Caenorhabditis elegans: one gene and its partner. The protein of the gene in region 2 interacts with the protein of the main gene of each other region in a pairwise test. Each region holds a gene or a part of one and is shown on either strand. Other genes may lie near its edges.

Region 1 (3,754 bases), on a different chromosome or scaffold from region 2:
ATGAGTCGGAACAGATGGAGTTGGGATAAGGCAGGCTTGTCTGAAAAAAAAATAAGAGCACGAGTCGTCGTCGGTGGTGGAGGACGACATGGATGAAGTAAGAAAGAGGGCGATTCTTTTACTCTCTTTTTTTGGGTATCCATATTTTAGTAGGTCACATTGAGATTCTTGCAAGTTTTGTTGCACTTTATTTTTTTTTGAGGGGGAGAATGTTTAAAAAATTCAAAAAATCATGAAATTGCAATGGGTTTTCACTAATTCCAAACCATATTATTTTTGAAGTGTGATAAGAGAGAATGAAGCATTGTAAATTGGGAATTTTTATATACAAGAACACTTAAAAAATCTTAAGTTTTTAAAATAAAAGTTTTGCTAATTTTACCGATCAGCAATTCTACGAAATGAGCCAGTGTGGCATGTTACCCTAAAATGTTTTTAATATAGTGATAGAATATAGAAAAATTATAATTTTTCAGATTTTTTTTCAACAATTTCTTTCAGTTTCTTTCAGACAATTTTGAACACTATTTCATTTGTTCCAACTAAAATAAAAGCTTTATTACAAGAAAACAATATGGTTGGAAAACATTGAGTACCACTTTTTGACTGTTAATTTAAAATTTTCAAAATAGTTTTGAGAACTGTAGATTTTTGTACTGGCGATTCAGAATACTGTTAAAAAATTTTTATTTCTTCCAATTTCCAACAGAATCAATTTTTTCTAATAGAAGAAGACTATTTTTCACAACATCAAAGTGCACTACTTTCAGAAACTTTTTGAAAAAAAAATTCTGGGAGATCTTGCTCTGTTTCTGGCAAAGTTAGTAGAACAAAATATTTTTCCTAACTGAATTCACACAGATGTTTGCCATTTTCTATAATATAAAGGTTTTTATGATATACTAACTATAGTCCAAGTTAACCGCAAATCTTACAAAAGAGTTCAAAAGTGATTAGATTTTTCAAATCTTCAGTCAAAAATTTTTGTGAATTGTCAATTTTTCCAAAAAATTTTGACTTTTGGAATAGTTTTGAGTATTTCTTTGATCCACTAGATCGAATTAAAACATTTTTAGAAACAATTATTTTTTGGTAGACTTTCAGCATTATCATCAGTAAAAACTGGGTAGACTTCACCACTTTTTGACCGTAGATTAAAAATAAATTCATTAAAAAAATTTGAACGTTTACTGTGATATTTGGAAAATTTTTCACTGTATGGGCAGTTTTAAATAATTTCCCCACTTAAATTACCTTAAATTTGCAAAAAAGTTAACTGACCTCATCAATCCTTTCTCTCTGATGTTGTCGGTGGTGTTGTTCTACCTCTCTCGCTGGGGACTTGCGCCCATTCAGTATATGGGACAGAATCTCAACTCTGAAGACTCTCAACTTGTTTCAAAATAAAACTTGTGGGTCTCTCTTTCGGAGAAACTTCAGAGCACCCCGCGACTCGTCCACCACCACCACCACCACTCAAAATGAAAAAGAAACGATTTCACCCCCCGCGAAAGGGATTAGAATAATCGAGAGCAAGCGATGGCAATTGATGCGCCACCACCAAATACATACACACAAAAACAGAAAACAGACACATCTGAAGAAGGAGAGAAGAACCTCTCCTCCCGAGGGTATTTACTTCGAAAGGAGAGCGAAACAAGACAGGGCAGGAAGTGAAGGAAAAGCAAAGAAGAAGAAGGAGTCAAGAATAAAAAACCAAGATGAAGGCGAAGAAGAAGGCAAGGTCGTATTTAGTAACGAAGAGTTGAAGACAAAAAAAATGGAAATAGAGAACATAATAGTGGAAGTTTGAGCAACTACTGTCTAGCAGGTGACACGAATATTTCGCCGGCGGGTGACGTAAGCGCTGCGAGATTTTTGGGAATGAAATTCGGAAAGGTAGGACCGCAAATTTTGCCACTGGTGAAAAATAACTTTTTTGATGTAATCTTAAAAGGCGTACTGTTAAAAATACTTATCTTAGCTAATACTGGTAAACCGGAATAAACCGGGCCCCCGTCGTCCAGTTTTTCCGGATTCAAGAGAATCCGAGTAACTTGGTTTTTCGATTTTTTTAAATAACTGGTTCCCGTTTTTATAATCCGGAAATTTTGGAACGGAATGAAACGTCGAAAAATGAAATTGAATTTTTTTATCTGTACCGTATTTCCTCTATTAGTCTTGCATGCAAGACTAAGTTTCAATTGACCCGTAGAGGTGCAAGACTAATAGAGACTGCAAGACTATTAGAGGCTGCAAGACTAATTTTCGAAGATCCAATAGCTTTATAAAATTGGCCATTTATCGTAAAAAATTTGACTCGAAACAGTCTAAATCATGCAAAATACATACTTTTCTATTGTTTTATCAATTATTTTAACACTTTAAAATTTAATTTAGCTATAAAATGGCGAAATTGTTGAAGTTTTCACAAAATACTGCTGGTCTGCCTAGAATAGGGGTGCAAGACTAATACCGTATGCTCTCTATTAGTCTTGCATGCAATTCCAATAGAGGCTGCAAGACTAATAGAGGAAATACGGTAAATTAGTTTGCTTATGATTTTAGGTGCTAAAAATCTGATAAATTCTGGTTTTCTCTGTATTTACAGCTTGAAATTTGTAGCGACTACTGTAGCTGAGGTTGTGGCAAGACCCACACAAAAACAGCGCGTGCCTTTGAAGTGAAGTGACAATTTTTAACAGAAGTACAATATAATTTTTCTTGTAACAAATTCAAGTGCAAATAGATTGCGGGGAGCCTTTTTGCACAATAGGGATACAAGATTTTTAAAATTTAGTAAAAAAGTCGATTATTCTTATTTTTCAAAAAAACTTATACATATATTTCGAAAACAAAACGTTCAAAAAAAATTCTAACATTTCAATTGTCACTTTTAATGAGAAGTTTTGCAAAACTTGATAGTTATAGTTAGAAGCTAAATTCGTGGCGAGACCCTTTCATTATCAGACGAACAGCTAGTGCCTTCGAAGTGACGTTTCACATTTTCACAGAAGTTAATAGAAATTCCAAAAATTTCTTTAAAACGTCAATTTTATTTTCAATTTTGGTAAATATTTAACAATTTTCAGAACTCCAACTTTCATATTATATTTCAAGTCTAGAAAACCTGACTAAAAATTTCAGAGATCACTTTAAAATTATTTTTTAATAACTAATTTTAATTTTCAAAAAAAAAAACCGTAATTTTGAGCTATGGAAACTAGGTTCAATACACATTTGGAAAAACGACAAAGCCAATAATTTTACAAAGCAGAAAAAAATTATGAAACATCAGACAAAAAATGTCGCCTACACTTCCTACCTGGCACTTTCAAAGTCATTCTTTTGAAAATTGCTTGCAATTTCAATACATTCTAAGAACGCGAACACTTTTTTTTCTACTTTTCTGCGCGAAGATCTTAACTTATTTATTTATATAAAAATAAAATGGAATATCTCATACGTCAGAGACAAAACTAAAAAAACACTTTTTTTCTTTTTTCACCAAAAATGAGGCACACTTGGAAACTCGGAAAAAATGACGGAAAGCTCACCGAAAAGCTTCCCGTCCTTCTCTCAATCTCATTCTTGCTCTCTTTTTTGTGCTCTTTTTTCGTCCATTGAGCCAGATCATTGCTACGCACCCGGACCATAAAATGCTCATTATAAACCCTCCTCTCAACTTTTATCGGGTCACGTCTCGTGGGGATTTCGGGTGTTGATAGCTGGTTGTAAACATGTTTCTCGACGG
Region 2 (3,507 bases):
GGATCATCCCAGACACGAGGCGGAGTGTAGATGCAACAGCAATTGGATTTGAGACGTCCCATGTGTTCGTTATCTAAAGTTTAAGTATTTTTCAAGACTTTTTAATATAAATTCACTCACCAATTACTCCCGCTCCCCAAGTGACACGTGGACGCTCAACTGGAGCTCTCAGGCGGAGCACAAGCTGCTCTCCTTCTTCGTTGGTTTGACAAGTTTCCGTTACGACGGGGGCTTGCATCGTACGACTGTGTAGTTGATGTACGAAATGAATAAAACTTTGAATTTTTTCCCTGGAATCGTGGACTTACACTTTTATTTATTTGACAATTTATATATATTTAAAATGCCATGATTCCACTATAAAAAGTTCAAATTTCAAAAAAATTTATAAATTTCAAAAAAAAAATTGAACTTTTAACGTGAACTTTTGAATTCCCCTTACCTCCCCCTTGCCACACTAACAATTTATTGCTACATACTCGTCCGACAACCTCAACCGTCGGATTAAACAATCTGCTCAATTGATTGGTTAGCTATGGCTTCCTCGTTCGACAACCAAATGGATCAGGATGGAATGTGCTCCGTGTACTCTGCTCAGCCATCGGAGACAAATTGCTCCATCAATGAGGTGCTTGCCAAAGAAATTATCGCTGTCAATGAGACGCCAGATGATCGTAAGTTTTTATTGTCTTTTTTTTGGGAATATTGAGTTTACAGAAGCTGATTCTTCGATCTACCCAATCCCAAAATCAGAAACAAATGTGTCAGCTAGCGAAGGGTTCCAGCCATGTCAAGATATCAATCAATTCAATTTGTCCGTTTACTCTGCTCCAAAATCCGAGACCCCAGTGACCATGAATGAGAAGTTCGAGCGGTGCAAAGACTGTAAGTTAACTGCAACAACTCTATCTTGAAAAACCAAAAATTTTCAGTGATGAACGTTCTTGACTACTCTGTCTACTCAATGCCACCATCAGAAGCAAATGTTACAATGAATGTTGCAAGCTTCTCGGAGTACACTGCCCTTGCCTCGGAGACCAACGTCACAATGGCTGATGTTCTCAAGAACGTTGCTCAGGATTTGGCGTCAGAGCACACTGCAAAATCAGCTCATCCAACATTCGACACCACCGCCTACGTAGAGCGCCTTCAAGCCGAGCTCGGGATTCCGGATAGCAAAGTGATTGGATTGGAGTGCAGCAATTTTTCGAATGCGAAGATCATTGATTCAATTGAATGCCTTCATCAGTTGGACAAATTCCAACCAATCCCGGTGGATTTCGATCAGAATCCTGATTTTGGAAAAACTGGTAAGAGTGAAGTTTATTTAAGAAATAATATTTTCAATTTCAGCCAAATCTGTGGAAAGCTACCTCTTGCGTTCATCCAATGCCAGTTCAATCCATCACGAGATCTGAAGAATCGGAACAAATTATTGAACTTGGTCTATAAAAAATGTCGAATCATTTTTGTTGTTGTCTATGCATTCGTAATTTCTTGGTTTTTTGTATAGCAAATTTTTTGATGACTATTACGATAGTTCATGGAAACGAGACTTGTGCCTGGCCGCCTTTTGCACACATGAAAGCGAGGCGGACAAAATGAGCCCCGTCATGGCTCCCGGGTTGAACACCTAACAAGACGGGAATTCTTCTAAAAAGAGTTGTCTTATCCCTATAAATCTGAAATTTGCATCAATTCTTCACCCGCCCTTGTTGCGATCTACCAGCCTCGTGGTTCTAAGTTACTTCTACCATGCTATTTAATGTTAACTGTACATAAAATGTGGTGCTTCTTCTCAATTTCCATTATTTCCTACTTTTTGAGAGAACTGTTCGAAAGGAGTTGCCTCTGTGAGCATCTATAAATTCTTTGTACAAGTTTTCACCAATCACGTGGCAACCGTGTTCTTTAAATTTTTATAAAATTAAATGTTTTCACGTCTTTCCTACTAATGCCTCAATGTTCATTTTCTTATATTCAAAATTTCATTTCAAAAAAATTTTCAAATCGATCACATCTCGAGAGATCATAATCATGGAGTGTTCTCAGGAAGATGTCGTCAATGGTAATTTTACTGAGTTTGTCATGCCGTCTGAACCGTAGAATTTCAGATTTCATTGCTCTCGAAAAGATTGGTTCAGAAGTGGATATCAATTTGGATGGAGTCATCAAAAGCAAGGAGTGTAGTAACACGAACGAAGCAGATATTATTAGTAACTGTGAGTTGCCTTTAAACGATTTCAGATGATCTTGAATCACCAGATTTTTCAGTGATAACCGCAATCGAAGAATCTTTGAGTTGTACATCGGTCTGCACAGCTGTATCATTGGAGACAGTGGCACAAAAGTTGGATGCCTATGCAGATCCTTCTTTGAATACTCAGATGTCTTTCAGTACAGCATCGGATTTGAGTTCTATGGAACAAGATTATGTTAAAGGTGGGATTCCGTCTCAATTAAATTTTAAAAAATTTATTTTCAGCTTCAGATGATCCTTTCGACCTCAATCATCAACCGTCGCCGCTCCAAGTCTGGCGTGATCAAGGCAAAATCACCGGATTTCAAATGATGTGTGATGATCAGAAGGTTACTGTAGTTGATTCTCTGGAGTGCTTAGCTCAATCGGAGCAACATTTGGAACCAGTTTACTTCGATCCACGTGTCAACCTTGCTATTCCGTGCCCGCCAGATGATTTTGAGATTCTTGAAGACTATGGTTCAACATCCAATGCATCAGTCAATTCGGATGACGCTTCAACCGCAGAACTTGGTCCGACGTCTGAAGAGTTTGAAGAATGGGTTCGGAAAATTGAACAGAACTATTGAATAGCTATTTGATAAAATACATTTTTTCTCATTGAAGATAATAGTTTTGCATATCTGACTCTGCGTCTCCAAAGTCTAAAACGAGTTGAAAACAACAACTGCCTAGGCCCCCTGTCGCCTCGCGTGTGCACATTATACTCTTTCTACTTTTGTTCCTCGCGCTCTCTTTTTCTAGTTTTCGAACACTCTCTGCATATCAAGAATATTCAAAGTGTTTTCTTTCTCTGTTTGATCTCCGGAAATTGCTCCAAATTTACACAAATTTGTGGTCAATTGGTGTCATCGCGCTGTTTCTTGTTTCGTATTCGTTTTTCGTATTTTAAACGAACATTTTCGTTTTCAACAACGACAATAACGAAATTTCCCATTCATTTCATACACTCGAATATTTTTTCTTCGTTTCCAGAACTTGCCATGAATATGCTCCGCTGCTTTCCGGAGTGTGGGATTTGCGGGCAGGAGTATTCAGAAGACGAAAAGCTCCTAATCCCTAGAATTTTGACTGGTACACCGTGTGTTTTGATTCTTAATTAAAAATTATTTTATCTTCCAGAATGTGGTCACACGATTTGTACAGGATGTGCAGGAAAAATAAAAGGACAGTCTTCGATAATCGCATGCCCATTTGATCGAATTGAGACGAGAATTTGGAAAAAAGATGTGACGAGACTCAAAAAG

The links. The genes of interacting proteins can lie anywhere in the genome.
Region 1: the proteins of ZK945.6 (region 2) and M03E7.1 interact in a two-hybrid assay, tested with the Caenorhabditis elegans proteins (one large-scale study listed by BioGRID).

The regions. Positions count from the first base shown.
Region 1 is NC_003283.11:5,619,978-5,623,731, reverse strand, and holds the start of M03E7.1 (Major sperm protein), read right to left. Parts: upstream 2,043-3,754; 5' UTR 91-2,042; coding exon 1-90.
Region 2 is NC_003280.10:10,105,433-10,108,939, reverse strand, and holds ZK945.6 (Ovule protein), read left to right. Parts: upstream 1-1,969; 5' UTR 1,970-2,037; coding exon 2,038-2,068; intron 2,069-2,114; coding exon 2,115-2,222; intron 2,223-2,274; coding exon 2,275-2,442; intron 2,443-2,485; coding exon 2,486-2,829; 3' UTR 2,830-2,860; downstream 2,861-3,507. Other genes in the region: ZK945.8 (PPP1R11/YPI1 family protein), read right to left, coding at 1-73, 121-238; ZK945.7 (uncharacterized protein), read left to right, coding at 536-674, 718-885, 933-1,310, 1,354-1,418; putative RING finger protein ZK945.4, read left to right, coding at 3,244-3,334, 3,383-3,507.